Arabidopsis thaliana: one gene and its partners. The protein of the gene in region 4 interacts with the protein of the main gene of each other region in a pairwise test. Each region holds a gene or a part of one and is shown on either strand. Other genes may lie near its edges. The genes, in order: AT1G01230, AT1G54730, SK42 and AT1G76185.

What was found.
Region 1: the proteins of AT1G76185 (region 4) and AT1G01230 interact in a protein complementation assay, tested with the Arabidopsis thaliana proteins (one large-scale study listed by BioGRID).
Region 2: the proteins of AT1G76185 (region 4) and AT1G54730 interact in a protein complementation assay, tested with the Arabidopsis thaliana proteins (one large-scale study listed by BioGRID).
Region 3: the proteins of AT1G76185 (region 4) and SK42 interact in a protein complementation assay, tested with the Arabidopsis thaliana proteins (one large-scale study listed by BioGRID).

What each region holds. Positions count from the first base shown.
Region 1 is NC_003070.9:94,435-100,892, reverse strand, and holds AT1G01230 (ORMDL family protein), read right to left. Parts: upstream 3,482-6,458; 5' UTR 3,274-3,481; coding exon 3,088-3,273; intron 2,437-3,087; coding exon 2,288-2,436; intron 1,986-2,287; coding exon 1,847-1,985; 3' UTR 1,653-1,846; downstream 1-1,652. Other genes in the region: AT1G01240 (uncharacterized protein), read right to left, coding at 1-210; AT1G01225 (NC domain-containing protein-like protein), read right to left, coding at 3,651-4,339, 4,736-4,829; FKGP (L-fucokinase/GDP-L-fucose pyrophosphorylase), read right to left, coding at 5,341-5,733, 5,818-6,458.
Region 2 is NC_003070.9:20,421,239-20,431,160, reverse strand, and holds AT1G54730 (Major facilitator superfamily protein), read right to left. Parts: upstream 6,816-9,922; 5' UTR 6,691-6,815; coding exon 6,544-6,690; intron 6,446-6,543; coding exon 6,383-6,445; intron 5,799-6,382; coding exon 5,709-5,798; intron 5,609-5,708; coding exon 5,549-5,608; intron 5,450-5,548; coding exon 5,384-5,449; coding exon of another isoform or gene 5,360-5,383; exon of another isoform or gene 4,958-5,359; coding exon 4,892-4,957; intron 4,737-4,891; coding exon 4,661-4,736; intron 4,585-4,660; coding exon 4,520-4,584; intron 4,384-4,519; coding exon 4,291-4,383; intron 4,197-4,290; coding exon 4,116-4,196; intron 4,036-4,115; coding exon 3,951-4,035; intron 3,862-3,950; coding exon 3,818-3,861; coding exon of another isoform or gene 3,767-3,817; exon of another isoform or gene 3,113-3,766; coding exon 3,050-3,112; coding exon of another isoform or gene 3,032-3,049; exon of another isoform or gene 2,774-3,031; coding exon 2,714-2,773; intron 2,373-2,713; coding exon 2,319-2,372; intron 1,848-2,318; coding exon 1,788-1,847; coding exon of another isoform or gene 1,716-1,787; exon of another isoform or gene 1,503-1,715; coding exon 1,388-1,502; coding exon of another isoform or gene 1,371-1,387; and 4 more. Other genes in the region: AT1G54740 (FANTASTIC four-like protein (DUF3049)), read right to left, coding at 1-322; AT1G54720 (early-responsive to dehydration protein-related / ERD protein-like protein), read right to left, coding at 7,407-7,537, 7,624-7,761, 8,234-8,330.
Region 3 is NC_003070.9:21,429,240-21,438,731, reverse strand, and holds SK42 (shaggy-like kinase 42), read left to right. Parts: upstream 1-2,628; 5' UTR 2,629-2,855; coding exon of another isoform or gene 2,856-2,895; exon of another isoform or gene 2,896-3,219; coding exon of another isoform or gene 3,220-3,305; exon of another isoform or gene 3,306-3,362; 5' UTR 3,363-3,479; intron 3,480-3,759; exon of another isoform or gene 3,760-3,763; 5' UTR 3,764-3,854; coding exon 3,855-3,995; intron 3,996-4,123; coding exon 4,124-4,216; intron 4,217-4,301; coding exon 4,302-4,361; intron 4,362-4,435; coding exon 4,436-4,708; intron 4,709-5,079; coding exon 5,080-5,154; intron 5,155-5,724; coding exon 5,725-5,781; intron 5,782-5,860; coding exon 5,861-6,001; intron 6,002-6,092; coding exon 6,093-6,143; intron 6,144-6,325; coding exon 6,326-6,421; intron 6,422-6,888; coding exon 6,889-6,972; intron 6,973-7,086; coding exon 7,087-7,189; intron 7,190-7,285; coding exon 7,286-7,370; coding exon of another isoform or gene 7,371-7,374; exon of another isoform or gene 7,375-7,521; coding exon 7,522-7,594; 3' UTR 7,595-7,681; downstream 7,682-9,492. Other genes in the region: PUP17 (purine permease 17), read left to right, coding at 1-1,130; AT1G57906 (F-box protein), read right to left, coding at 1,922-2,482, 2,856-2,895, 3,220-3,305; AT1G57860 (Translation protein SH3-like family protein), read left to right, coding at 7,905-8,141, 8,441-8,698. UniProt on the Arabidopsis thaliana protein: May mediate extracellular signals to regulate transcription in differentiating cells.
Region 4 is NC_003070.9:28,587,666-28,593,499, reverse strand, and holds AT1G76185 (NADH-ubiquinone oxidoreductase chain), read right to left. Parts: upstream 3,176-5,834; 5' UTR 3,004-3,175; coding exon 2,891-3,003; intron 2,551-2,890; coding exon 2,343-2,550; 3' UTR 1,969-2,342; downstream 1-1,968. Other genes in the region: AT1G76200 (NADH dehydrogenase ubiquinone 1 beta subcomplex subunit), read right to left, coding at 43-149; AT1G76190 (SAUR-like auxin-responsive protein family), read right to left, coding at 904-1,275.

The DNA of each region.
Region 1 (6,458 bases), about 28 Mb from region 4:
TGATCCCTTAAGCCACCATTTGGTATCACAAGAGAAATCAGAGGAATCTCCAAAACTTCCGGAAGAAAAGCTGTTTTTTTCGGTGTTGCCCGAAGAAGATTGTTGGTGTTGGCAACAAGCTAACCTCGGAGCCATCTTAGCATCCTCATGAACAACAAAGCAACGACTAGCTGTTCTTTGCCACAATGCTCTTGCTTCAGCTGCTCCCATTATTTCATTAAGACACAACAAAAATCCTAAAAAATTAAGAGAAAAGAGAAACACACCAAATCAAAAGACTGTTCTTTTTTCACCCAGATCCTGTAATATAAACATAAAAGACATGGGAAGGATTAATTCGTTTTTCTTGCTACTCATGAGATTGCTTCTAAGCAAATGATTGATTCATAGATAAGCCAATGATTTAAGGAATTTACATTAAATAATACACGCAACGTCTGGGAACCAAAATATATTCAATCAAAACCAATTCAACGTATATGAAATCTTAAACAATCTTAACAGATCCAGGAATAAAGAAGACAATATATTTCACCACCAAATTAAACACAACAAGACATAAGTTTCAGAGCAATTAAGACATACTGCAGAACCAAAAAAAAAGAAAGTCTTGAGCAGAGCAAACTACAAAGATCATGCGTAAGATTTCGCAATGGGATCGAGTAAATTTACCAAAATTTTCAGAAATTCCAAAATCAGAAGTTGACCCAGGAAACAAAAATCATCACTGATCCATGAGAAAACAGTCTGATGGAAGAAACTAGAAGAACAGAGACTTTTATCTAAACAAAACCACGAAAACAGAGCAAAAGAGTAAGATTTGTAAAATAGATCAGAAAACGAAGTAACAACTAAAGATACCATTATTAGTAGTTTAAAGAATCCATGAATCACTCTAGAAACAAATGAAGCGATCTTGCGCGACCGAAGCTTTTGGCTTTTCTTCTCTTTTTTTTTAATTTTCGTTTCTCACACTCTCTGGCCCCATGGAACCAAATTTACAGTTTCTTCCGTAAAAGCTTCCGAGTTAGGGACACAAAACGACACAGTTTCAATAACTTGTTTGGCTTGGTAAGCATCTGAAACAGCTGGATTGACAACACGTGTTGGCTAAAGAGAGAATCGACGGCTATTACGATATGGACCCTACTTTCGATTTAATGGATAAGATGTTTTTATTTATTTTCTTACATTGGACCACAATAAGAAAAAAAAAAAAAAAAATCATTAGTCTTATTCCAACTTTAATTAGTCATTCTTTCGTTTTGTCGGCTTTAATTTTGCAGGATATATCATGTTTTCGGGGTCCAATTAGCATTCTCTTTTTTTTTTTAATCACGTTAATTGATTACTTTTGTTAGCTTTATTCAATTTTGAAGAGGGATTAACTATTTTGTATACGTACACCATGATATAATATCCATCCAGGTGGACTTTAACTATGACACGTGTCATTAACCAGCTGTTAGAGATCTTGTAGGCAGCCACGTGTTCTTTAGATCCCACTGAATCATTACGCTCAATCGAAAACATTCTGGTGTTATGATAACTCATGAGTCACCACGACAGGAATCTTTGGGCCATTGTTAAATTCAATTATTGTTCAAGCCCATATTGCTATTAGGCCCATTATCTGAAGTGAAGTGGGGAGATGAAGGGAAAGCTTTTTCGTGTCTATTATAAAAGGTAAAAGATGAAAGCTTCAAAATTAGAGAGTTTACTTACAAATATCCAACAAAAAACATGACTCGAGAATTAAACCAACTCATATGAACATTTACACATATATATGTTCGCTTATATCCCCTTTTCCTTCTTTCAGGTGTTCTCTTGCCGTAAAGGAAACTTATTTATCACCATTGATACCAAAGATGCGTACCTTGTGCATGTTGGGGAACTTGGCAACAACGAGAACCATCACAGCGAGTGTGTTGAGGAACAGCCATGGATGTCTGTAATCTGTTGTATGCGATGCAATCAAGTACCTGTTTTAAATGTGTCGTTATAAAGTCAGAAAACAAGTACAAAAGCTAAAGAGCTCAATCTTAAAAGTTCATCCAGATAAATGCAGCTCTTGTTTATACACATTATCGCGTATACAGAGTTCTCTAGAACTAGTCCGTTACACATCACCGGATTTAGATATGTGTATTGAGAAATTAGCATATTTATTAACCATATGAGACACAAGGATATATGCAGCTAAAGAAAATAATTTGCTAAGAAAATATAGATTGGAAATAGACAAGAGTGGTGAGATTTTGAGGAACAAGGTGCTGGGACTTACAGAACAACAGGAACTAGGGTAAGAAATTTGCGGTTGCGGGTAAGCTGTTGACCATTGTCCATTTGTTCCCACCAAGTTAAACCATTGTAGATTCCTTGGTCATCTGCAAAAGGAGTTCCTTTCATCCAGTGGAAGCTGTGATACGTTACCTGACAACAAATATCCACAAATTTCTACTCAGACATCACATTTTCCTAAAGAGTAATTAGAAATTAGATTAAATTTGGTTTTGACAATCAAGCAATGCCAATTTACAAGTCACCGCATTATATCAAACAGTTAGACCTTAAGAAATTGCATTGATGCCATAGGTAGTTTTAGTTTCTGATATCAAAAACTGATAATTCATTAACGAGAAGGTGCATCTTAATTCGAAGCCTGATCCAAAACCGATCAATTCAAACTTAGAAGAGAATTGCATCTTACTTAAAAGCCTGATCAACTCAACAGTCAACACTGCTGATAGTATCCAAACAGATCAATTCAAAATCGCTGATACCAAAACTGATCAATTCATTGATAAGAAGGTAACTGTATCCTAATTCGAAGCCTGATCCAAGCTCAACGATATACGATAGCTAAAACTGATCAATCAGAAGGTAATTGCCTCTTCATTCGAACCCTAAACCAACTAAAAAATTGCTAATAACCAAAGAGATCAATTCAAACACTAGAGCCAGATTCACATCCAGATCTCAGGAAATAAAAAAAAAACAAGGAATCAATCCATCATCTAATTTAAAGTCACAACCCTAAGTGAAAAAATCATCTCTAAAGCATAAACACAATCGAAGACTTACAACGAAGTGAGCGAGATTAACAACAGTCCAAGCCATTCCAGGGGAACAACCAGAGACAGAGAGAACAACGAGCCAACCGAAGAAGAGAATAAGCATGTAAGTCGTCCAAACTCCTGGATACATGAACCATTCCGTATTCCTATTCATATCCGGTGGTGGAACCGCTTTCACATACAGATTCGCCATTTCTTCTTCAATCAGATCGGATCGGATCGAATCTCGTCTTCTTTTGATCAAAATCTTATATTAACACCTGAACTAAAAACCCAGATTCACAAAATTCTCTATTTCGGCGAGAACAAGGATTGTTTGTTTCTTTGGTTTAATTTTGTGTGCCCGTGAAAGACGACGACTGCTTTTTTGCATCTACACTGGGCATTAATTAATTATTGGGATATTTTTGACATTACCCAAACCAAAACGTCTGCGTTTTCATTTTGTACAGACAGAAAATAGGCCAACAAATGCAATAAAGGGAACATAAAACCAACATGAGGATTCTAACTGAAATGTTTTCTTATGTATATCGAAATTCGTGAACAAAGGTGATAGGTATCTGTTTGTCACCTAACATAGTCGGTATCAGAATCTTCTTCTTCGTCTTCTTCTTCTTCTTCACCTTGCTCAATGGTCTTTACGTCAAGGTTGAGAGCCAAATCCTCAACTGAGACCTTAATGACGTCGCTTCTAACACCAATATCGGTAGCATAGCGACTCATACAGTACATACCAGCAGTAACTGTTGCCACACCAATGGGACTTGGAATAAGCAATTTGAAAGGAGAAGAGAGGAGTGCAGCCAAAGGAGCACCAACAATTGAAGAAGCTTGACCGCTTCTCCCTACACCGAGCTTATCCATTATAAGCAAACCGGTCTTGCAATAGAGCGCGAAATCCTCACAGTTGTTCTTGAAAATGTCGTAGTTGCCAAATCCGTTTTGGAGAAGGTACATTGCCCTGTGGATGACTGAATCAGTTGTATCAGATTGCGCGGTTGTGCAAGTCCCTCCGCGGACTTTGGTTAGGAAAACCGATGGACTGACTCCATATTCGAAGCAGTAGAGTGAGCCGTTCTTGAGGAAACAGTCTAAGCAAGAAAGGACTACTCCACTGTCCGGTTGTCTGAAACCGCAATCAGGAAATATGGAACAGATATCTTCAGAGGAAGATGATGATATTGATGATGTTGATGAATCCATGGGGTTGTGTTCAGGTCTGAAATGAACAACTTTGGACCCACCGACAAAGATTCCTGCAAAAATCCACAATCAAATCAAAGCCCATGAAGGAATGTCTACAACAGTATCAATTCTTCATCACCAGAGGAAATTGGGATAAAAATATGTCAAATAAACAAAAATCATCTATAAAGTCCATCAGAGATCAGAAGATATGATGGAATAACATCAAAATACAGAGCCAGGGTGAAATTAGGTCATGCAAAGATTGGAATATAGACCATTGTCTTCAAGATCTATCTAGATAAAGTCGTCAACTTTGTGAATTTACAGTTTCAATAAGAAGATTAAACCGACCAGTAGAAACTAAAAGAAAAGACTTGCATTGAGGATAATTTCACTTTTTGATGTTATGATTGAATGAACGAGAAAGAAAGGAGCAAACTTGGGAAGAATGAATCTAAAGTTACCGTGGTGAGAATAAGCGAAGATTGCTCTGTAAGTATAGATGTGATCTCCTGGCTTTAGCTCTTCTCTCTCAATCTTGTTCGTAAGCAAACCCATTTTTCTTCTTCTCTCTCTCTCTGCACAAAGCTTTTTTTTACCTTGCTTGTGGAAAATGCAGGAAACGGCGTTACAAGTGTAAGCTCTAACGGTGGGATCTGACGTCAGCGAGATAGGTAAGGTAAAGTAACGTTTTTTGGAGTGGCATTATCTAATTCGATAAACGAACTAGAGAGAGCTGTTGAGCAAACCCGTTACAGAGTCTTTTAACGGCGTTATCTCCAAATCCAAATGCTACCAACGTACTGATTTTCCGGGGCCTTTTGACCTTGATTCCAGGCAGGGGTAATACGGTCACTTCACAGCTTGGTGGTCGTTGAACTATGAAGTAAACCAACCAGAAGCAAGAAGAGAACGACTTGGTCAAGCAAAGGATTTTGTTTACCACACGACATCGTTTTTAATTGCAAATCTGAAAGATTCTTCTGCTTTTATTTTTTCCAAAGGTCCCAAAAAAATATATCAATTTACAAGAATCAAGATGATGACACACTGACACTGTATGTATCTTTCAAATACAGATGCTCCAGTTGTAAACTTTGACATCAAACTCTGCATGTTCTTCCAATCTCTGTCTTAACTCCTTGGCTTTCTCTGCGTCCTTAGCCAATATAAGTGAGAATCCACCACCACCTGCACCTACCAGCTTGAATCCTGAGCTATAAGGTTGCGAAAACTCAAAAAGCTTATCCACAAACTCATTGCTGCAATACGGATCCAGCTCTTGATGCAGTCTCCAAGCTTCTGACATTATGTCGCCTACCTCGTCAACTTCACAGTTCATCAACGCTTCTCTACCGGATTTCGCCAGCTCCGTCAATCGCTTAATGCTTGAAATTAGGAGATTATCTCTTTGCAAATACCTTGTAACGACCTTGTGTAGGACTTGATGAGCTAGCCTGACCTGTTTATATAAAAAAGGCATAAAATGAATGAGACTCTGTAGCTAACAAAAAATCTTTTCTTCCTCTCAGTGGTTGCTACTTACTTGACCCGTGAAAACAACAAGGAGGCGTTGCTCCAACTCTGAAATTAGCTGTGGCGAGGCGAGTAAAGGAACAACTTGAAGACGCATAGGGATTCCTGGAAAACTTGAAGTGAATTTGATTCCTGGATATAATCCACCAATCTGATCTTGCCAGCCACCTCCTGTACCCATGAGTTGCTCCAGAACCAAGACAAGTCTTGCAATGTTTTCATTGCTTTCATCTCCATTAGATATCTGGAGAAGTCCTTTCACAACAGCTGCAGCTAGAATGCTCGAGGTTCCTAGACCACTGCCACGAGGAACATTGGCCCATGTCTTTATTGCTAACCCTGTGGAGTCAACAAAATTTTCTTGGACAATGCCGGTTACCAATAGAGCAGATTTAACAAGCCTGAATGGATCATTGACTTCAAATGGTGTCTTAATGCTTATTGGATCTTCGATGTGTAGCTCGTTTCCAGCGTCGTCTTGGATTGAGATTCCCATCTGATTTGTTGTTTCAATGATTGTGCCAATTGGAAGTGAACCTTCTAAGGTTATAGCCATGTTCAGGACGTAACCTGCACGCTCTAAGCTCCATGGAGGTGTATCACTCCAACCTCCTACAAAATCTACCCGAACTGGTAGTTCAACTTTTGTCC
Region 2 (9,922 bases), 8.2 Mb from region 4:
AAAAATATCGCTGTCCACGGCTGTTTAATGACGAGAGAGGCGGAGGAAACTGTTTTTTCTGCGCTTGCACCACCACATTCTCCTTCGTCTTCCTCCTCTTTGCTTCAACCCTTTCGGTCTCCACCTCCGCATGACAAGTCATCTTGTTCTCCACCTCGTTATCGGACATCCTCATGTCGTAACTCTCAAACCCTAGATACTCTGTGCACAACATTAAGCCATGTGATTGTGTCTCATCATGGCCAAGACCGGATTCAAACGGCATCCCTTTGGTGTTGGTTTGGCCAAGGAAAGAGTGAAAGCTTCTTTTGTAGAAGCTCATCTTGGTAACAAGAGAGAGAGAGAGAGGGTGACAAGATAGATACCTACTCCCCTATTTGTATTATTCTGAGGATTGATGAATAATTATTACACATTTTTTGTTTATAATAGAACAAGAAGAGAGAGAAAAAAAAGTCAAGAAAAGAAAATGGGAAAGAGATAGATGATCGAAAGAAGCGGTGTTTTGCTTGGTGAATAAAGGTGCCACCGAGAAAGATGACCTGTAGAGATTAGAAGAGAACGTAAGATAAGTCCCACGTCAGATGGCTTCACACTTCAATCTCTGTCACTTCTTTTTAATTGGTTTTCTTTCTTGTTTTTAGATATAAAAAGAGGAAAAATGACTATTTTTTTAAAATTTTTTTTTAATTTTTTTTTTGGTTTGTGTGTGTTAAAGGAAAAAATGGAAAACAAGAATATGTCATTAATATCGTGATCTAATCCCTTAGTTAGTATATTTTGAATGGATATTTGTCAAACAATCATTTTTTAAAATTGATTTTTTGCACTCATCCATGAAATCAAAATTGACCTCCATACATAACATTTTTGTAAGCGGTCTAACTATCTCAAAGAAATATTTTATAATTTTTTTGTAGAACCCAACATATATGTCCAAAAAAACTTCGAATATCTTTCACTGTCTTTAGAAGTTGTAAACTCGTCATAACCTCGATTTTTTTCCTCGACACCTTCAATTATGTTCTCCGATATTTGGTAACCAAAAACAACACCATTTATTCAAATTCACTAAGCAAAAAGGATGATACGATTATACCAAAAGGAAAGAAGAAAAATAAAAAATCTTACTTTTAATCGTTATAATTAGGGACTGATATTCTCGTAATCAACTACTATACATTACAATTCTACATAACCAATCGAATATTGGATTTCCTCAAGTGTGCGACCTTTGGTTTCTGGTACGAGTTTTGCTACAAAAATAACAGTAGCCCCACAAACAGTAGCGAAAACATAAAACGTTCCTGAAAATTTAAAACTTGTGCCACTATTAGATAAAGAACAAAATTTATTGATAAAAGCAAAATTTAAACAAATTTTATACCTGCCGGATTCCAATTCATTAGAAAGTTAAATGTAAAAGATATAATCCATGATCCGACCCAGCTAACAACAGTCACGAGGCTTCCGGCTGATCCTTTTATGTCTATTGGAAATATCTTTATCATATAAAACATAAAATTAATATCTACGCACCAACTAAATTGAATTAAAATGTTATATAAACAAAGAATCAATAAATAAATCATAAAGGAACATAATTTATATACACTGATCAAAATCATACCACATACAACCATATGAGAGTTAAATAATTTATTATTTAATTTTAATACTAAACCGTAGGTTTATGATATAAAGTTTAATATTTCTTAAGACATCGATCGGATTATTAAGTATAAGAGTATGTTTAAAACCAAAGAATTTTTATGAATGTTACTTACCTCTGACATAATGACCCAAGGAATCCCACCCATCCCTAATGAAAATGATCCGGTGTACACCTGAAAAAATAAGATAAATTTATCATTTATGGACGTCTACGATCTTTCAAAGTATGTGTGTGGGTTCTAATTTCATCCAATAGTTGGTTCGCTATCCCAGAAGCCACGAAATACTTGTTAATAACAATAATGATATTATTTGTTCTTTTCTAGTAGTTTTTCCTCACCGACATAGTATTCGGAAATTTGTTTTAGCAAGTCATTCATCGTAAAATTCCTTCAACTCAAACACGTCTACTATATAGTTCTTTCAGAACGAGTTACAGGAAAAATAAACGTATTTTGATGATATAGATGTGTATATCAGTTCTTCTATTTTTTTCATGCACCATCTTATTGGTACAGTCATTCCCACTTTCAAACAGCAACGTTTCAGTATGCCAAAACTATCATATTCATATCAACTATTTTCAAACTTTTCAAATTGAGGATAAAAAAAAAGGAAATCTAGATTTTAGTCGTCAAACTTACCAAAACGCCTGTAAGTGCTAGATATGAAGCATCTCCACTCAATTGCTTTACAAACTACAACAGGATGAACCCAAAAATTATAGTACATAATATGAAATTATAAACATTTTGAAGCATATATGCAACTACTTGAGAAGTTTTAATATTAATATACAATCAAACAATAAAAATTAATATTTCTAGATATTTATCATCTAGATCTAGACATAGATCGAGAAAATATATTAAATCTCTATTAGAAGAAAAAATTATAATTATGGTAACAATAAAGTCATATGGCACCACTGTAGACAAAAAATATTCAATTTTTATACTGATATTAATATACTAAAACATAATATGTTAAAAATAGATAAAATCAAGATATTATTTTAAAATATAAATAAGGAGAGAACCTGTAATGAAAATGATAAACCGACGAGGAAACACCCGATACATGTTCCAGTAGCAGAAATCTGAAGAGATAAAATATTAAATTCATTATATGTAATTCTTTCAACATATACATATTGACATATATATAGGGACTAGGGAGGCAATATATAATTATCCACCAATGTATAATAATAATAATAAAAGATAAAAAAACAATAATAAGTTGGAACTACAGTTATAACATAAATTCTTTAAAAACTTTATTTTTAATATAGTGAGAAAAGGTACTTGTAAAAATTACTTTGTATTTGACTAATAACATTATAAAAAAATGTTAGTCACTTGTTTTTTCTTACTAGAAGTAATGGTCGTCTTCCTGATTTATCCATCAACAGTACACCTAAAGTTGTCATAGGGATCTGGAAAGAAAATTCGTCTCAGCTACAAATAATTTTAAGAAATGATACATTGAATTTTAAATGTTAAACAATTATATATTAATTGTAATTATTTTGGCTTTTCAATTCAAAACAAAAGTGGATTAGACCATATTATTCATATATCACTCAACGTCTCATTTCTTTAATGTTAGGTATTTCTAACATGTTACCTTGATATATGGTTCCTCTACGGGTTTATCTCTCTATAATCTTGTTATAGGATAAATTTTGGGTCAGATTAATTTTTGTATTTGATAGGTAAACAAATGAAACTCAGATTAGAACGATTTGGTTTGTATCGGAGAAGCGTGTGTTCATTTTATAATTTTATGGTCATGATCGTTTAGTAGTCGCCAGTGATGGTCGTTTGGTAGTCGTTAAATTTAGCGACAGATCCAGCGACCTATCGCATCGATCAACAATCTCCAGGAATTAGTCGTCGCGACTGATCGCTATCCTGCTCTCTTCCTTCTCTTTCGAATGGAAACAATTCACACTCTAACATTATATATTCTCTTTCTTTCTCAGGTTTTTCTTCCCTAAAAATCCTTTAGTATAATTATATTATTTTTGTAATATATATTTGTATTAGTTGTGTTGTTACCCTATATAAATATATATTCATTCACTTAATTAACCATCAAAAAATTGGGGAAAATAAAATAATAATACCCAAAAACTTACCTGTACGACCACCATCGCAATCATTCCAATTTTGGAAGAAACCCCTACAAAACAAAAAATTAAGTTGGTTAGTGAAGTTCTTTTTTAATTTTTGGGGTTTAGGCACATTAATCAATATTAAAGGTGCATGTACCAGCAGATTCGAAAATAGAGCTAGCGTAAAAAGCAATTCCATTAACCCCTCCAAATTGTTGCAAAACCATCAGACCAACTCCCACCTAAAACCCACTTGGCATTTCATCATAGAATAATGAAAATAACTACTTATTGAACAATTTTATAAGTTAAAAACACTTACAACTAGAGATTTAGCATACTGTGGCTGGAACAGATCTACTATACTACCTTCTGATAAATCTGTAAGTCTTCGCGTATAATCCTAGAAAATATAGAAATACAGGAGATTTTACACTTTAATGGAAATTTGTAAAAAATGTAGTGAGCTCAAGAAATAGAATTTAGTGTTACTTTACTTTGATCTCATTAGACTCATATGAAATATCTGCGGATTCACCACGTAATCGTTGCAATGCAATCTCAAATTCTTCCCATTTGCCAACTTTTGCCTGAGAATTTTTGCGAACAATTATTTTCTATAACAATGAAAGTTTTGGGTTACTTAGCGTAATGATTGGATAGACTAGATTTGGCATTAGGTACATAAAAACTATTAAACTTGTAGTATGTTGACGGATAACGTACCAACCATCTAGGAGACTCTGGGATGACAAATAATCCCATCATTTGTACAACACATGGTATCATTCCTGGAGCATAAAAAAAAAATTAATTAACAATTTTTTAGTATGAGTAACTTATTTAAAGTATGTTGACGGATATTACCGATCAAAGCTAAAATTCGCCAGCCTATAAAAGAGCCCAAGAGATATGTGACTGAGACACCCAAACATATCAGTAACTGCAATGTTAACACTGTTAAAGATCGATGGAGATGAAAATAATACTTTTAGAGTATATATTTTGTAACTTCTGATTTAATTTTTAAAAACTAATTTAGTTCTTGTATAACATATTCATAAAAACTAATTTAGTTATTGTATAACATATTCATACCTGATGAACAGTTGTAAACCCACCACGAAGACCCTTAGGAGTGATTTCAGCTATGTATACAGGAACCTGATCATCGATTAACAAAACAATCTAGATGAAAGAACGATACAAAATCTACTGTACTATAGCTAGCAACAACTTTCAGCTACATAAATCGAAGAAGTTATCTTTTCATTGTGTTGTTCCTCGCATGCGCAATTTTAAGCCGGAATACCAGCTAGTAGTACATATGAAATATCATACTCTTGGGGGCAACAAATAGTTTCAACATATAATCTAGTATCTAATATGACCAATATAGCTTTCGTTTTAAGAAATTAACAATTGTAGAAGGCTAATGTTTATTGTAAATAGATATATAAGAAAAGTAGAGATATATTTATTTAGATCATTAGGTCACTCATCTTACAATTGATCATCGAATTTGTTTTCTTGTAATCACCACAATATTTTTCATTATTCAAGCTACTAGCTAGAGTTTATAGATTTTACCACAAACGAAAAAACGCCCATTCCATAACCAACCAAGAATCTCCCAACGTCAAGCCAAATTGCAACCTTAATAGACAAAAACCACATGGTAAATTTTAAGTACTTCTTGAAGAAATATAGTTGATGAGAAATACAGAGAGATATATAGAAAAATACTAAGCTAACCTTAGAAAGGTAGATTGCTAACCAGCCGAGAATGCAAAACATCTCCGAGAAACCCATAGTCTAATCACACACACACACACAAATAAATGATTTATTTACCAGTTTGACGCAAAAATGTAAATATTCGCTTGTCATGGAAAGAAAGAAGAACAAATTTTACAGCTCGTCTGCCTATCATATCGGCGATTCGTCCACTCATAGCTGCGCCGATCATTGCTCCAATTGTCAGAATCGAACCGAAGAGCGAGTACTGCATGTAGTTTAAAAACATTTATAGGTGATATATCTTGATTTTTACGATGATGTTTATATAATTTGTCATCTTTCGTAAAGGTATGCTTATTTCTTAATTTTCTACTAAATGATATTTTTTCCACACCTATAAACCTTAAATCAAGACGGAGAAAAAAAAAGAAAAAAAATTCTAACCGAAATAGAGATCATAATTAATAGCCGGACACAACTAATTTATCTCAACATGCAAGCATTTGGAGTAGGACCAGTACGTCTACAGTACAAAAATTCAATTCTCCACTCATTTTTTTTTCCGTCAATTCTCCACTCATTATTAGTACAAAAATAGTGAGATAATCCTTTAAATTTTAATTCTCCACTCATTATTTTCTTCTAGTATCATAACCCTTTCACAACTACTTGCCTCAATTAAAAAAAAAAAAAAAAACTACTGCCTCAATCCATACTCATTGATTAGATCAGTAACTAATACTATACACATAAGTTAAATGTACTTAAGTATATTTTACCTATCTAGCTAGCAAACAAAAACATATGGCATAATAAATTAAAAGACAAAAAAATAAAATAACAGTTTACCTCTGCCACAGAGAGATTCAACTCCTTGGTTAAATCCGACTGAACAGGTGATGAATATCCTATCTGCCAAAATTTTCAACGAAATTAGAAATTAAGATTCAAACACAAAACACAACACACAATTACTGAACAAAAGCAAAAATTAGTAATTGTAAACTCACAGCTGAGCCAAAGACAAAGGAACCAGACACGGCTACAAAAGTGGTGAGCAAGAGAGTAGTTGTTATTGTCGCCGATGAGTCTTGATTCTCTTTGTTAATAAGTGAAGTTTCAGGAGCAAGATTAGCTTCATCGATTTCTCCTCTCATTTTCTCTTTCCTTTTTGTGATTCTATCTTTCTTAGTGAAATACTTGAGTAAAGACAAAGTAGAGTTGTTGGAGAGATCTCAAGAACTAATATATAGAGAAGAGATAAGGTTATTTTATTATTTTGTCTTTGTCTTCAAGTTGTTATTATATATAGAGAAAAAGTGAAGAGTAATTCACAAATATATATATGCAAAGTAGTCAGTCGTATGTAGTCGTTTCATTTTCATGTGTAGTAAGTTTATGCGTTTGTATTTTAGTGGTTTAAACAACTAGGTTTATGTCTTCTTTTTTTTGTTTTTTCTTTTCTTTTTTTGTATTTTTAGTTTTGATTTGAATTTAAGATCCTAGAGCATATGCATTGCAAATATATATTATCTTTTAATAGGTCTATGAAACTATCTGAAGCACACACTCTATAGATGGGAACAAGCAAAGAACCAAGAAGAGAATAACGAGTTCGAGTAAGAAGAAACTAAGACCAGTAGCAATCGAACGGGTAAATCTCTCTTGAAAAAAGTTAGTCCTTCAACGAAAAAGAGGAAAGACATACGTATTTCATGAGATTTATAATGGTAATCGACCAGACGATCAATCATTTATCTACTTCTCCTTTAAGGGTTTGCCCAATCTGAATCGGTCGATCCGGATACACTTATATTTTCATATAAATACTATCATATAAGAACTAAAATCCTAAGCTTTTCATATATAGTTTTCACTTATGGTTAGTTGTAGTAGCTATTAGCAAGAGCTCCACTGCTCCGCCATCAACAGCTCCAAGATCTGAAATGAGATCGAAGCAGAGCTCAAGTTCAGCTAAAGAGTCAAAGAAAGAAAACGACGTCGCTCAGCTTAACAAAGGAAAATGGTTATTGGGCCACTCACCAAACAGGCCCAATGACAACACAACCAACACAACAACGAAGCCCAACAAGTGTTCTTCCTCTTCTCAACAGACAAGACCACCACCTGTGCAAGAAAACAAATCAGAGTGAAGACAGAGAAGAGGAGCGTCTGTACGGATCCAATCAACACAAAGAACAGATTTGGTTGTTTGGTGACCTCCGAAGCTTGATAAGACAGAGACAGCTGTCAGTTTACAATCATTGAAACCCTAGCATTGTTTAGCTATAAAAGGGAACCATGTTGTAACCTAAAGATTAAGTGAAATAATACAAAGCAAAGTTCACTCAAAACATTACCTAAAGTAGCCGTCTTGCTCTTACTTTCAGTAGCCTCTTAGATCTAAACTCTTTTGGGCTAACATCACTAACATTTATTCAATTGTTTTAGAATTTATTGATAATCTTTAGTTTTCTTACATTTTGTATTTTAATTGTCATAATAATTGAGTAGTCTCATTCATAGGTGATCGTTAGGCTAGATTAGGGTGTTTAATGTTTGATTCATGATATATAGTTGCATAGTCTCATCACTTAGAGAAGAGCTCAATGCTAGTTAAGTTGACCCCTGTTGATTTAGATCTTTCATTTCACGCCTAGAAGGTGTTAAATAAAATGCTTGAACACTTTCTGAGTAAACTGGATTCAGGGTAACCATCTTCATTTGGGTGTTTCCTTTCTCTTATGCTGAGACTCTTCCTGAGTAAACTGGCTTCCATGCTCTTTTGTCTCTCCATTGTTGTTGTTTCTTTTTTCTTCTGATGATCATACTCTTTCTTTTTGTTTAAGATACAGTTAAAGAGAGAGATAGAGTAAGAGACTTAAGAGGATATTGTCACTTATATTTGTGACAAGTACTAAGTTCAAAACTCTTCATACATTTATATAGGATCTTGAGAAGTTTTAGACACTTTTTTTTTAAAAAGGCTTGAAGATATCGTGGGTAATTAACAAAGGACGAAAAACAAATCAAGTAGGAGTGTAGGACAAAAAAACAGTAGTTGGCTTTTATTTTTAAGTTTTTTGGTGAAATTATTGGCCTTTATTTTAAAAGAACATATAGTTATATTAATGAAATGGTGTTCGTAAAAACGTGCAACTCTGACAAAATATTCTTTAAATAATTGGAGACGGGTAGACGCAAGATTTGGAACTGTTCTTTGGTCTCAACAAAAGTCAGTTAATCAAAGTTTACTAATAAGTTTTGGCATAGTTGCCTTCGTAACCAAGAGGGTGAAAACATGAAACAAAATAGTGAAAACACTTACAGTTATGTTTTAGCCTTGCTGTTTGATCGTAGGGTGGTTGGTATATGCATGGTACTGTCATTTTGGTGAATTTTATGAATTTGTAAAACCATATAAAAGAAGAATAAGATATATAGGAGCAACTTCCTTTTAGAGCTTTTTTTCATTTAATATATTACTAAACCGTGTGAGTGGATAAATACAAGTCTAAGGAATCATTTTGATTAAACTCATTGCTACTGAAAGAATGTGTGAGTTATAGGGTTATAACTTAAGTACTATATACAGATATAGTTTCTCTTGTTCGTCCATATTTATTTAATCTTTTTTTGTAACTTCTCAAATAATATAAGGTTATAACATTTTTTTTTTTGTCGTCTAATATAAGGTTATAACTTATAATTATCTTTACACGGGAACCACATTTTATTGTTTGTTATATAATCTGTATACTAACAACGACGTAATAAAACTCTTACTTCAATAATCTGACAAGATTTCGAATTAGTCACTCTTTAAGTCTTTATTAATGCATGTAATATAGTTGAGAACACATTGACTAGAGGGAGTACATTTTTTTAAATGGTGAACAGCAAATTCAATAATAATTAAATATATTTTTTAAAAATTAGGGGATAGCTTCTGATTAGCTAGAATAAAGAGGGTGAATGAAATTATAGTGTAGCAATTTCTAAAAAATTTAGGGTATATAATCTGATTATTCATGTTGACTAAGAAAAAAAAAAATCTAACCTAAAAAAGAAAGATATGATTCAACATACAAAGCAATTGATTACCCAAATCACTAGTCGTTGGGCATTAACTGCTTTGGTGCAAATGGGTCTAAACATGGAAGGCTTAGGCCTGAGGGATGCCTTGATTTTCTTTGAGTTGTGACGTGCAAACTAAAACCTATTTCAATTATACACCAAATAAGTAACAACTAGCCCTAGGACCTATATTATATGGAACATTAAGCTTGCACGATCTCTACATTTCTTAAACAATAAATAGATCTATTGTTGATTCAATTAATCAATTTGGTGTAATTTTTGAATGATAATATTTAAACATTCCCAAAA
Region 3 (9,492 bases), 7.2 Mb from region 4:
AACCAGACCAAATCTTGAGTCCAAGAAGATCGTTGGAGCTAAAACAAAGAAAATGGTGGATCTCTGTTTCTTTATGTCTTTTCTTAGTCTTACTCGGAGATTCTCTCGTCATGCTTCTCTTGAACTTCTTCTATGTCCAAATGAAGCAAGACCGTCGAGAAGAGTATGACCAAGATCTACAATATAAAGGAACATGGACGCAAGCTCTGATCCAAAACGCTGCGTTTCCTATTCTCATCCCTCTCTTTTTCATTTTCCCTAAACCAAAACAACACCTTGAAACCAACAATACTAGTTTCCTCTCCTTGCGTCTCTTCTTCCTTTACTTATCTCTTGGTGTTCTTGTTGCTGCTCACAGCAAATTGTTCGCACTCGGGAAATTAGTCTCAAACTATGGCATCTTCTCATTGATTTCCACAACACAGTTGATATTTACCGCTGTTTTAACAGCCATCATTAACCGTTTCAAGTTTACTAGATGGATCATCATATCGATATTACTCACTATTGTGATTTACGTTCTCGGTACTCCTGACTTTGGAGGACAGCCTCATGACGGCGAAGAATTCGGATACAACATCCAAGCTTGGTTAGCTTTCTCTGCTACAATTGCTTTCTCATTATCTCTTTGCTTAATCCAACTCGGGTTCGAGAAACTCCAAGTGAAGACCAAGAGATATGGTAACGAGAAAGTGTTTAGAATGGTCTTAGAGATGCAAATATGTGTCGCTTTTGTCGCCTCGGTTGTTTGTCTCGTGGGCTTGTTTGCGAGTGACGAGTATAAGGAACTGAAAGGCGATAGCAAGAGGTTTAAGAAAGGGGAAACGTATTACGTTCTGAGTTTGGTCGGGTTGGCTTTGTCGTGGCAGGTTTGGGCGGTCGGGATGATAGGTTTGGTGCATTATGTTTCGGGTCTTTTTGGTGATGTTGTTCATATGTGTGCTTCACCATTTGTGGCTTTGTTTGTTGTCTTGGCATTTGATTTTATGGATGATGTGTTTAGTTGGCCTAGAATTGGTGCTTTGATAGGAACAGTTTTGGCGTTAGGATCTTACTTCTACACTCTGCACAAGAGAAACAAGAAGAAGATGGCGGAACTTAACCAAAGTGAGAACAATGTTGAAGTTTAGTTTCTCATGTCAAGTGTTTGTCAATCTGTTCTTGTTATTCTGATTCTTGTAAGTCAATGTCCAAAATATGTTGTATAGATATGGATCAAACTATGTAATTTATTTATTAGTTGGTTTAGTTTGATTTTTTTCTTTTCTCTGTTTTGCATTTATTTGTTACAATACTTTGCTAGAGGAGTGAATCCCTATATATTTCTCAAGTAGACTTGATTGTTAACATCTATGGGGCATCGAGACACCAATAAAGCCACATCCCACTTGATGATATAAGCTGCACCAAGCTCTTATGCCTTTAGGCTCGTACCTTTCCTATATAGAATGCAACGTAAACGTCTTCCCCAAGCAACTCAAATCCAGAGGCTGATGAGAAGAAGTCTTTTATATGCTTATTTGTTTTGTATATCTTCCATGGGTGATCATTCCTCTGCAAGTGGTTTATTACGTCGATGAAAGCCAGAAATATACCAATAGGCCATGCACATTTCGGTTACAGAAGTGGCACTCTTCATATTACTAGCTGGAGAAGAAAGGTTTTCGATAGAGCTTAACGGAAATGGTAAAGTATGGTATGAGATAGAGATAATGTTATCACATTTCTTGTCACTCCTCCAATATCCTTAATATAAAGAAAGTAGCTCTAGCCTAAACAAGATTCAGAGAAACCTAGGAACAAACATTTGGAAACAACTCTGCTCAGAACCAAACATCATCAAAGTACTACCATCGTCTAGCTTAAACACCTTAACCTCTACTTCCTTTTCATGGACAAAGTATATAGAATTCGGTACGCATCAATAGTACTCATGAGCCATAACCGAGAAACAAGTATCAGTCGCCATCACAACCGCACTATCTCTCAAGGACTTAACTTCAACCCACTTCCCTAATTCCTCATCAACCTTATAAACATTGAAACCAACCATTTTGGGACATTCTATTTCCACCTCTTGGTCCACATTGCATTTTTCATTCCCAAAATCGTCATGTATCACATTAGAAATCCGAGGAGCTACACCAACATAAACATTATCATCCAAGTCCAAGTAATCAGCTTTTCTTTTCAAGACATTCTCTTTAAAAAGACGATCAACAATATAAAGCTCTCCACAACATGCAACCAAGCTTAAGTCTCCACCACATTCATTAGTAAGTGAAGTTCCATACCTAACGATACTAATCCACCAAACAATGCCTTTCGTATCCAACACGTAAATTAGCTCTTTGAGAACAATAATATCAGAGAATTCACCAATCTGATCTTTGATTCTAGTCCAAATCTCTCCATTCCAAAACCTAATCTTCCCATCAAACCCTATTCCAAAAACTCGATCTCCTCCCGCAAGAACAACTTTCTTAAACCCAAAAGCAATGGACCATTTCGGTTTAACAATAGATGTGATTTGGTTTAGCTTATCAATTAATTTTTTTATTTTATTTTAAAATAAATATATATTTTAATTCTTTTATAAATCTCTGATTGGTTGGTTAATTAATTGTTTGTATTTCCCTTTTACGAATTTAAATAAAGTAGATGTTACAAAAGAAAATGAAAATCTCTGAAAAACTCTCCTGATTCAAAAGAGTAAGAAATCTACAAAAGAAAACCACAGAGAAAATCTCTACTGATCAGTTTCTCTCCATTGGTGATCGCTCGTCAGAAAAATTGAGCTCGATTTTGTATAAATTGAAGAAAAAGAAGAAGATCATCAAATGCGTGATTTTTACTTTTCCGTTCAAGGTAAATCGATCATCTTCGGCTTCAAGCCTGAAGATAGCGCTTCGAATTGGTTGAATTGTGTAATTTTGGAGGAAGTTAAGGTTCTTGCAGTAACAACTGCTTTACTGATTTTTCTGGTTTTTTTTGTAATTGTAGAAACTGAGTTTAAGGACAAGCTTTGTCCCTTTTAGTGGAATTTAGATCTGGTTTTGTCGTAATTTCTTCTGGGTTTCAATTCTAGTCTTCTGTAGTAGTATCAGTGTTGTGTTATCACCCACTATTTCAAAGTTTCAATGAAATTTTAATACCAAGTTGTTGACTTTTCTGTGTTTCTATCTGATCATAATTAACTTCGGAAGAAATTATTGTGACCTCAGAAAATTAGGTAGCTGATTTGATTCTTTTGTTTTCTCAATTATTCTCTTGTTAATTTCATTGTTCACATAGAAATGGTTCATATTTTCTGCTAATATGTTTCCTCTTTCATTTCAATTCACCATATTTCTTCTTTGTAGTGATTGATCAAGGGAACATAAGCAGCTAGAGACCACACCACTCAGTTATTTCTATCTCATAGTGCTTGTGGATGTTCAAGCTATAAGAATGTGCTCGGTGGTTCTATGAATATATAGGTATTATGCGTTATGTTTGGTTTGTAGAATATATTCTGAGAAGGTGATAGGATGGTCGATTTGCTAACTTTATGTCACTTCTGAAAGTGAGTTTGCATGTTTCTCTTTTCTCTTAAATCTGCTTTAAGTGTTAAGATATTTTGTTTTGAATATATTTGGAAAAACCAGTGACTTTGGTATTCTGTTAGCATGTTCCAACGATCTAAATTCTGTGGGTATATACTCTGGTAATTGCTTATACTGTTTTTGCTTTATGAAAACGATTTTAATATTCTACTAGGAAGATTGGTGTTTTGATGGGATGGGACACCAAATTGCTAAGGTTTATGGTGTTATCAATTACTAGTACGTGTTATCTTCCGAACAACCACCACCATGGAATCTCATCTGGGAAATGGAGTAGGCAGTTCGAGATCTGCCAAAAATACAAAGAACACTTCTAGTTCAGTTGATTGGTTGAGCAGAGATATGCTTGAGATGAAGATAAGGGACAAGACAGAGGCTGATGAGGAGAGAGTAAGTTTTGCATCTCCTTTCTTAGGTCTTTATTTCTTTGTGAACTTCTTTAGCTTATCTTCCTTCTCATGCGCCCCTCTATTTGATGAAGTAGTTTACTTGAATTTGATGTTTTTGCCATGTTGCAGGACAGTGAACCAGATATCATTGATGGAGTTGGTGCAGAACCTGGCCATGTGATCACAACTACACTCCCTGGACGAAATGGTCAATCAAGACAGGTTAGATGGTCATAGAAACTGTGTGTCTAGATTGTTAGTGAGACGTACTGATTCTTATACAACTGTTTTTAATTTTGATTGACAGACAGTCAGTTACATAGCAGAACACGTAGTCGGGACTGGTTCATTCGGAATGGTTTTCCAAGTGAGTAAGATTGTCTATCTTGTTGTTTTACCATTGGTTAAGATTCCCAAACATTTTATGTCTCCTTGTGGTAGGCTAAATGCAGAGAAACTGGGGAGGTTGTTGCCATCAAAAAAGTTCTACAAGACAAGCGTTACAAGAACAGAGAATTACAAATTATGCAGATGCTAGACCATCCGAATGTTGTTTGTTTAAAGCATAGCTTCTATTCAAGAACAGAAAATGAAGAGGTTTATCTAAATCTTGTCCTTGAGTTTGTTCCCGAGACTGTCAATCGTACTGCCAGAAGCTACAGTAGAATGAACCAGCTGATGCCATTGATATATGTCAAACTCTACACTTACCAGGTGATTATTTCCTGTTTCTGATCTTTTTTTGTTTCTCTTTATGTAAGCGTCATAAGTAATCACTCAAAATTTAAGCTATATTCAGTTTCTTGATATGTGTCAGCTGGTTTCTTGTGGTTCATTCCATAATGGATGTTGGAGATTTCCTCTTGTTTTGCTAGATAGATTGTAAACCAGAAGGCAAAGTTCCTATCATTTCTGATACTATTGTACTTTTCCGTTAGAAGTTGGAACTATTGAACATAATTGATTGTCTCTATATAAAAGAAGTAGTGCTCAAACGTTTGTTGAACACTTAAGTGTGAATCGGGCCTGATAATTTGTTGGACATTCTCCAATGATTTTTGAGGATTTTATGTTAATGGCTACAGATTTGCAGGGGGCTTGCTTACCTTCATAATTGCTGTGGTCTTTGTCACCGTGATATAAAGCCCCAAAACCTGCTAGTAAGTTCCAATTTTTTCTCACTGAAAAGAAGTTGATGATAGATTTCACTTTCCTGTAAGCTACTTTTGTTTGAATTTTTTTTATATAGCAAGGTCTTTGTCACCACACATAAGGATTTTAAAGGCATTTGTGTACATAAATATCAGACAGTGTTCTTTAATTCTACAAATTTGATCATTATATAGTAATGACATGATGATATTTCGTTATTACATGCCTGGTGGGATTAAGCAATGAGGTTATGTATGCATCTCGCTAATGTTTATTTCAACCTCAGAGTGGTACTGGGCTTCTGTTCTGTAGTTAATTTCACTTGCTATTTGTTCAAGTAGGATGTTAAAATCTAACTTTTCGGAAAATAGTTTTGGTTTTTAGCTGGTCTGTTCGTTGGTTTAAATATTTAGAATCCTATTTTCTTGTGATTTCACAAGGATTGAACTTGTTCCATACTGTTTCAGCTGTTAGGCTCACCATACCTGCAATTGACTAGAATTTGTCATAAACAAATGTTGCCTTGTTTTTATTAAACAATCTTTTATTTTTTTCTTTACACCTATTGTGATGTGCAGGTGAATCCACACACACATCAGCTGAAAATTTGTGATTTTGGGAGTGCAAAAGTGTTGGTAAAGTTTATCAGCTATAGCTCTTAGTGGTTTAGTTTTCCTAGTCCATGCTTAGATTATGACGTGTCATGGTCCACAGGTGAAAGGAGAACCCAATATTTCTTACATTTGTTCAAGATACTATCGTGCCCCAGAGCTCATTTTTGGAGCCACCGAGTACACAACTGCAATAGACATATGGTCCACAGGTTGTGTGATGGCTGAACTGCTGCTTGGACAGGTTGGAGCACTATATTTGCATTAGCTATATGCTTGTTATTCTATTTCTTCACCCTCTTACTCATTTTTGCTCTCGCGGACTTGTTTTACAGCCTCTGTTTCCTGGCGAAAGTGGAGTCGATCAACTTGTTGAAATCATAAAGGTAGTATTTTTGCTATCAATTCTTTTAGGGTTAGTTGTATTTACAAAGAAAATGACATCTTTAGAGCTGGCACTGACTAATAGTTTCTCACTGCTGATTATATTTTTTTTATAAAACTTTACCACCATTTTTGTAGTAGGACTCGTACATTCTCTCTTCATGGTTTTTTAATTGTCATGCAGGTTTTGGGTACACCAACAAGGGAGGAGATCAAATGCATGAATCCAAACTACACAGAATTTAAATTTCCTCAGATAAAACCTCATCCTTGGCACAAGGTATACCGCTAGTAGTATCAATTATCACCTAATAGGGTTCTCTTAATCGATATATGACCAAGCTTGTCTCGGTTTAGTGAGGTTGATTGAAGTATATGTGATCAATTAACTTCATATTTCATTCCTCTGGCATATAGAGCGATGTGACAGCTTTGCCTTTGTATATAAGATTCTTATACAAACAAATAAATTGAACCTTTGCCAAAAGGAATTACTCATGCACACACTCGTGGGGGTTGAAAACAGTTAGGCTTCATGATCTTGGCTTTTTTGCTGGTTTAAGTTTCTATCTAGATGAAGTTTTATTCAGCATTTTATACAGCTGACATTCCAGAACTCTGTTACTCGTTATTCTTATCTTTTGTTTTGCTCCGTGCTAAAATTTCTCTTAAGTGATCATTTCCTTGGTTTTACTTCTATATAGTCATGTTCTTACAGCACAAGAATCATGTGTTTGTTACTTTCAGGTATTCCAGAAACGTCTGCCACCTGAAGCAGTAGATCTTCTTTGTAGGTTCTTCCAGTATTCTCCTAATTTGAGATGTACAGCGGTAAATTATTCATAGCTTTTCTCTGACTTTGTTACATATTCTACTTCCATATTTTTTTTGGGATCAGCATCAGAAGCTAACCCATTATAAGTATGTCTTATGATTTTCTGATAGGTGGAAGCTTGTATCCACCCTTTCTTTGATGAGCTAAGAGACCCAAATGCTCGTCTGCCAAACGGCCGGCCACTTCCTCCGCTATTCAATTTTAAACCACAAGGTAAGGTTCTGTTATTTGCTTCTTCTTTTTTCCGTGTTAAATTCTTTATAAGGGAAGAAAATTAGTATGTGTTATTGATAAGCGTGTGTCCTACAGAACTCTCTGGTATCCCTCCTGAAACTGTGGACCGACTTGTCCCAGAACATGCCCGTAAGCAGAACCACTTCATGGCATTACACTCGTAAGTCTCTTCCGTGTTTTCTGTACGACCTATCGGGTGTTCTCTTCTTTTCTCTAAGCTCTCTAGATCCCAGTCTTTGGGAAAAACCAGTAGAGCTCTCTCTCTGTAAACAGAAATCACTGGAAAAAGAAGCAATGACTTTTGTATTAAGGTGCTTGCGCATCCCTTGTCGTGAAGTGAGGATGCGTAAAATACAACACTACTTTGTTAGATATATGATATAGAGGAACATACTTACATTTGCAAGACTCCTGCCACAACACAATTTTCCAAAAAATTTGTGAACCTTAAAATGAATTGACAGTTTAGTTTATTTGTCCATGTTTACGAACTTGATTTGAACCATATTACTCGAATTACACCAAACCAATTTATCTTCGAGTTAATTTCAAATAAGGCATTTGTTTTACAAAATAAGGCTTAAATATTGAAGGCCCAATAAGACCATGTACACAAAAAGCCTTTTAAACTAGTTTCACCTCTCTCTCCCATTTTTAGGGTTTCGTCAGAGACAGAAGTGAGAGAGGAGGAAAAATGCCGGCGGGACACGGAGTGAGGGCGAGAACAAGAGATCTGTTCGCGAGACCATTCAGGAAGAAGGGTTATATTCCACTCTCCACTTACCTCAGAACCTTCAAGGTCGGCGATTACGTCGATGTCAAGGTTAATGGAGCTATCCACAAGGGTATGCCTCATAAGTTCTACCATGGTCGTACTGGTCGCATCTGGAATGTCACTAAACGTGCCGTTGGTGTTGAAGTCAACAAACAGGTTTGATTACTCAAAACTTTTAATCTGTTTGAAAGAGTTTTTTGTTGTTGAAATTAGGGTTTGAAATTGATTTTGATTCTTTCATTTGGGGTTTAATTCGTCTTTCTGTGAGCTATCTGTTTTGAATTCTGAGATGTTGGATTAGTGTTGGCTCGAAAGTTTCAAGCTTTTCTTATTGGGTCGTTCGTTTACTATTATTATATGTTTTGATGTTGTGAAAGCTTCTCTTTTCATTTCTTGTGTTTATGATTAGTGTAATCTGTTGGAGAGCTAAGTTGGTGTGTTGGGTTGGGTTTTAGATTGGGAACAGAATCATAAGGAAGAGGATACATGTGCGTGTGGAGCATGTGCAACAGTCAAGGTGTGCTGAGGAGTTTAAACTCAGAAAGAAACAGAACGATGTGCTTAAGGCTGATGCTAAAGCCAGAGGTGAGACTATCAGCACCAAGAGACAGCCTAAAGGTCCTAAACCGGGTTTCATGGTTGAAGGTATGACATTGGAGACTGTCACTCCCATTCCTTACGATGTTGTCAACGATCTCAAGGGTGGTTATTGAGTTGTTTCCATTTTATTATCATTCTCTACTCAGAATTTTTGCACTTGCTTTTTTAATTATGTTTTTGTATCAAACAAGACTGATTTATATACGATATGAGTTCAGATTTTGTTAGGAAAGATGGTTTATCCCAATCATTTACCTATTGCATTTGTATTTAAAAATCGTTTCTGCATTCTTCAGAAAAATGATACCTTGGGAAAAGTTGAGACACCTAATCTTTTTCAGTGTTAGCAATTTGAACCACAAAAAGAGAGAGCAATGGAAACAAAATCTTTGTAAAGTTGCGAATTTCAGATAGACCTTTTAGCCCAATAGTTTTTAATAGCCACAACAGAGCCAGCCTGACCAGTAATTACAACCATTGCTGTACACTGCACCAGCCCAACCGCTGAGACAAAAAAAAACGCATGTGGCAGAGTCAGTGGAATGTTATCTGTTTCCTTTCCACCTTCACACTATTGTCTCCTCTTCCTTCATCAGAGTGAATGGTGGTTAAAACTTCCCCAGCCTCCGGAGCGACTTCCTTGATAAAATTGACCTTGGATCTGTGAAACTAAAGAGGAAAACTACTGAGTGCTTCTGCTTTGGAACTTAATAAATTAGGGTTTCTATGGTTCAAGACTTCAAATGGATATGAATAAGAAAAGAGATCGAATAAGAAATTTATTGTTATGTTCGAATAAATTTCTTATTCGCATCATAGATTTTTCAAATAAATTTTGGAAGATTGTGTTATGGGTGGATTCTTGCAAATGTAAGTATGTTCCTCTATATCATTATCTCGCAAATTA
Region 4 (5,834 bases):
ATCAAAAGCGAATTAGGTGAAAGAGAGAAATCAGAAATGTACCACATAACGGCGCACAAGCCTTTTCCGGTGACGGTGTGCCAAGTCTTGGGAGTGTGGACAGTGACTCCCTTGTAAGTTATACCTCCGCCATGTCCTCCTCCACCCATTATCTCTCTCTCGAAACCCTAGATTCCCCGATTCGCACTTCAATTTCAGACCGAAAAAGCTTTCTTTCTCCTCAGCTTTGACAATTTACTACCTGAGATTTGATTCAACCATGTGAGTCGTCACTTTTAGTAAGGCCTCAATTAAAAGGCTTAGGCCCAATTTAAAGACCAAAGGCCCATTTCTATATCTGTTTCTTTCACAATGTTTTCTTCCTTTTTGGGCCCTTTAAGAAGTTTGGATACATGAATTGAATGTTTTGTAGATTTTGTAAGAGTTTTTGGTTTTTGTTTTCCAAAAACTTATTTTCATACCAATCAAGATTTTAAAATTTTGGTTTCCCTACAATTTAGAAAAATTATTTTCTTGTAGTTTTCCATTCATGATTTTAGTTTTTTAGTTCTCCTAAAATTTAGGAAATCTAGTTTTTACTCAATCAACGTTATTTTTCTCAAAAACCAAAAACCAATTTTTTGGGGTTTTTGAAACAAAAATATAATAATAAAAATCTGAAACTAAAATCTAAAATCTATAAACTAAAATCTAAATTCAAAAACTGAATCCAAAATCAGCATCCATTCAGGGCCTATAACTTCGTCCCAAATCGTTGTTTTAACCGTCAAAAAAAGACTCAAAATCAAATGATGATACTGTATCATTGATACATTACAATAATTAATTTATTACAAGATCATGTTGGTATACACAAAATAGAACAACCCTTCTCCAAAAAAAGTTAACAATTACTCCAAATGGTTAGGAAACTAATGACTGAAGCTGGCTCTGTCCACGAAAGAGAGAAGAGATTGAAGCTCCCTTGCAGGTGCTGCTCGTGGAAGACTTCTCCACATCATCATAATCATGGGACATGCTCCTTCTCACAAGCATGATGATGTGATCCATTAAACTTCCATCGCAAGGAACTTTTAAAGGACCATCAATGGTAGTCCCAAACTCATCCTCAGCCATTTGCAATAGCACCTGTAACATCGGATGATTCAGATAATCCAATGGTAAAACGAATCTCTTCCCTTCGTTCGTGTACACAGCGAAGTGCCCTTTCTTCCTTCTTCTCCATTTCTCCATCAATTCGGAGAGTCTAATCCCTTTAGAATTTAGTTTCTTCATATGATTTTTGTGTGTGTGTTACTTCGGCTTTGATAGTTTCGTTGCGTATGTATCTGTCTGTATGCAACCTTAATTAAATGCCTAACTGCTTCTCTATATATATAGCAATATATGGACCAAACTGTGGATTTTGATGTGTGTGGAGGGAAAAGGATGTTCGTGCTTATTTGATTGTTTTTAGTTGCTTTTCAAATTTGTCCACAAATTGGATCACGACCACTCGTGGAGTTATGTACTGACCTTCTACAAATATCTAGAGATTTTCGATCTTTCTAATTATTTCCGTTTCAAAACATGAATTACGACTAAATGCAATTATCTTGGTTACTAACACACTTGTTTTTGTCATTGTCATTAATGAACTTTGACAAAGCTATATCACCATGTAGACAGTATCTCATTATTTGGAAATTAAGTTAATCAAATCAAGCTAAGCTAGTGTATTGACAGACCATAACATTACAAATAATACTAACTATTACCACTTTTTCTTTAACAAGATACTAAAGTAGTTGCAGAGCGCAAAGGTAATGATAGAAACATGTGAGCGTTTCGAGCAAGTTGCTTGCTACTTTTCATTTTATAGTTCTCTCTTCTACTTTCATGAGTGTTCGTTGTTTTTCTTTTTCTCGTCACATGAAAATCCTGCAAATCATTTTTTAAAAACTTTTTACAGCCAACAAATCTAAATCACTTCATCATGATATTAAGTGTAACATAGATAGATGGAAAAACTATCTTTAATCACAAAACGCTCAAGTTAACAATCCGTGATCGTGCCTAGGAAAAATAAAGCAACCTCCCATACTACTTTATACAGGAAAACAACCTTTACAGCACTTTTGTTCTGATTTGTCTAAGCTAAGCCTTGAAATTGCAGTCCCTGGTTTCATATCTCAAGTTCAGGTCGATTCTTCAAAGGACAAAAGCGATGCGTCCCAGAGTCAGTCTGAGCTTAGCTGTCATCTTCATCAATGCATATGGGCACAAAACTCATGCCAGAGAAGAGTTGTGGTTTGGTTGTGTGAGAAGATAAACGGTTCGCAACAGCTCAATGGTTTCGGTCTTTACATAGAGAGAGGAAGAAGCATCCTTCGCTTCTTCTTCCTAGCATGTCTCACTTGCTTTGTGATTTTCATACAGAGGAGTAATAGTAAGGTGACACAAAGCAGGATAAAAGCAAGTTGCAACCGCCTGAAGTACAAGGATACAGCTGAAAACACCACGAGTGCTAACATCACTAGTTCCCATATGACAAAGACTACAACATCAACCCTGAATCAAAAGCAAACGAAACGAATAGCATAAGTACCACTATAGAATGTTCATTGTCAAAATTTAACAATAGAATCCAGATTGCAACAGAGTCGATAAGAATGAAAAGTGTATGTCAAATTGTCAAAGATGGTTCAACGTGGACAAGTCAAAATTATAGTTCCTTGTGTAGGATTCACATAGATATCCAATGTTCAACGACAATCCCTTAAAAGATGAGAAATTTACGGTTCCAATTGAATTAAATATCACAAAGTACAATTTTTCAAATACAACTCTAAGCACGCAGCTCCAAATCACAGCAGATTAAAAAGGAAAGGATAAGCCGGAGATCTCTAACCTGGAGGAAGAGAAATTGGAGGTGGAAGAGAAGAAAGAAACGGAGGCCCAATCATGCTTTGATCTAATCTGATATTCCCTGAGCTGTTCTGCTAGATTCGATCTTGTTATCATCGCTTCTTCTCCACCAAGTCCCGATCACAGTCCCGATTCGACGAAGAGCTCAAGAAGCGTTTGAGAATCACGAGATGTAGGAAAAATCTATCACCAACATATAACTAGAATCTAGAAATCCAAAACAATGGAAAAACAAAATCTGTGAATTGGAAAATTTCGCATCAAAATTTTACAGCGACGAAACGGTGTCCGATTCGTTAGGAATTCGGCGAACGTTGCGTGGACTCTCTCGGTGTCAACAACCGGGTCGGGTTATAGATCCGATCTGGATTCTTAAGCCCATTTTATGGGTATTGGGCTTTTACCGTTACTCTTTTGTTTTGAGTTGTCATCATATATGAAAACTTTGTTCCGATGCCATGAAATTTGGGCTTTTAAGAATCATGAAAACTTTGTTCTAACAGAAATAGAAACATCAAAGAAAAAGAAATAAAACAGCGATGCATCGATTGATTCTCATGTCCCACCAAGTAAAGCGAGTGCTAAATATTGTTGAATATTCCTGATTTGACCACAATAAGGAAAATATCACGCCCATAAAACTCAGACGGGCGGTGAAAAAGAAGAAATCGACAGAAGAACAAACGCATGACGTTCATTACTTAGCACTAATCTGAAACTTTCGAATTATAGTATTTGATCCATATGTATTCTACGTTTTTCAGAAAACTTTGTTCAGATATCTCAAACTTTCGAATTAATTAATATTATTTTAAAATCTATAGTTTAGTTGTGAATTCTAAGTGTCGGCTACAATTTGTCGGTTCGCTATCACCGAAAACATTATCCAAAGAATAAGTTAAGAGCTGAGCTTCGGTGTATATGACAACAAGAACCAAAAAGACGAATAAGTTAGTATTGAAAAAGATAGGTTTGTTTGATATGTGTGTTGATACGTCACGGTTCGTGCTACGTCTTTGTTAAATTTAGAGACCAGAGATTACTGATGTGGCACGTCGGTTCATTTTTTTTATTTTAGGCGAATTTTAAGAGATGATGCATTTACCGATTACCATCTGTCCTTCATTAATATTTTTAGTATATCTTTTTCAATAGGTCGAAAATGACATCCCACACATTAACATATTAATTCATAAGAAATCCAAGTCATCTTATGCTCATTTGTCTACTCATGATTTCATTATCTACATCTAAGTTTATCTTTAAAAACTGCATGAAAACATAACCATTTACGTTGAAAAAATACATACACAAACCCTTTTCCCATAAACGAGATTACGAAAGATTGTTTTATGTGCCCCAAAAATGGTAAACAAAAGATGATGCTAACTTTCTATTCGTTCTAAAATCTAAATCTTTAGTTTTAGTTTGTTTATGTCCACGATCATTTCTTTGATAATACTTTTGGCGGATTCACAAGCGCAAATTACCCGTCTTATTGTAGCATTAGGACTAAAAATGAGATCCGGTAGCATTGCAACAACACCTTCCTAATCGATTGAGCCAATCGGACTTATATTACTTGTTGGATTTGTTTTTTTTTTTGTTTAGAGTATCCAAGATCATGTATTTACAATTTCAAAGATCATGCGTTACTAGATTGGCCTCTTCAACATGTTTAGTGAATAATAAGTTAAAATAACACCTAATCGTTGAGGATTCATAGCGTGATAAGAATTAAATAACCAAGTTCTTATTGGTTTGTTTGTATTTTGTAACGCATAGAATAGAAGAAAGAAAAAATAAGGAACGTTATAAATTTCTAAAAAATCATCATTTCTTCTCGAACAAGCTTGTTCCAGCGTGGCACTAGTCAATAAGTCAAGTGGACCCACGTAACCGACATCACGTCTTTTACGCCAATCAGTACATACTATTGGGTCCTACAAAAGGACAACTTCCCATGTTATATTGACACGTTTTAAGATGTAATTGATTAATCTAAATTTCTCTCTGACTCTTTTCTTTGTCTACATCCGACGTTCCATTTCTGACTATGAGCTCCGTCGTCCGATTTGCGCTAATGCTTGACACGTGTCTTCCAATCTATGGTGCATTAAATTGTTAATCCTTTCAAAATCTGTAATCCATTTTTGGAATTTGCAAGATGGTTCCTATATTTGTGAATATATATATATATATAAGAAAGCCCGAAACTTTAAGAACAATAATTTATAGGGACATCCCATTCTTTAAAATCTCTTTTGCGTTGTCAAAAATAAATTATTTTTGCTTTCAGAGGAAATGAAAAAACATTTTTGCTTATTCCATATTATTCTTACTCTATTTAAAGTTTGAATCAGTTTTCTTTAACTTGATAAACCGATCATTGAACTACAAAGTCCACATAACAAGTATTAAAACAAACAAAAAAACTTATGAAAGTCTAATATTTAAATTAAAAACAGTACACGCCTTGAACAAACCATTTAGTTTGTTTTCACTACTTTTGAAAAAAAACTATCTAGTTGCCATTCTTATCCATTATTTTTTATTCCACTAAATTGATATCAGATCACGTAAGCAAACTATTAACAATTAATTAATGAATTCTTCTTAATCCAATATAACTTTATCTAATTAACAGAAAAATGATAATTAACGTGGGGACGAAGGAGAAGATGCCATAAAAAGCGGGTCATTTTGTAATTTCATATAATTAGATATATGTTTTTAAATTGCAAAAAAAAAGTGTACAAAGAGCGTGAAATCCGCGGTGGCTTGGACCCCTCCCGAGTCCTCAACACTATATAACACACTTTCTTCTCTAATCTCCATCACCTCTTATTTTCATCTGCTTTTGAATTTCAAACCTTCACATAAAAAAAATACTTTTGAATCCGTGTTTCATTCATCGAATCTTTTTC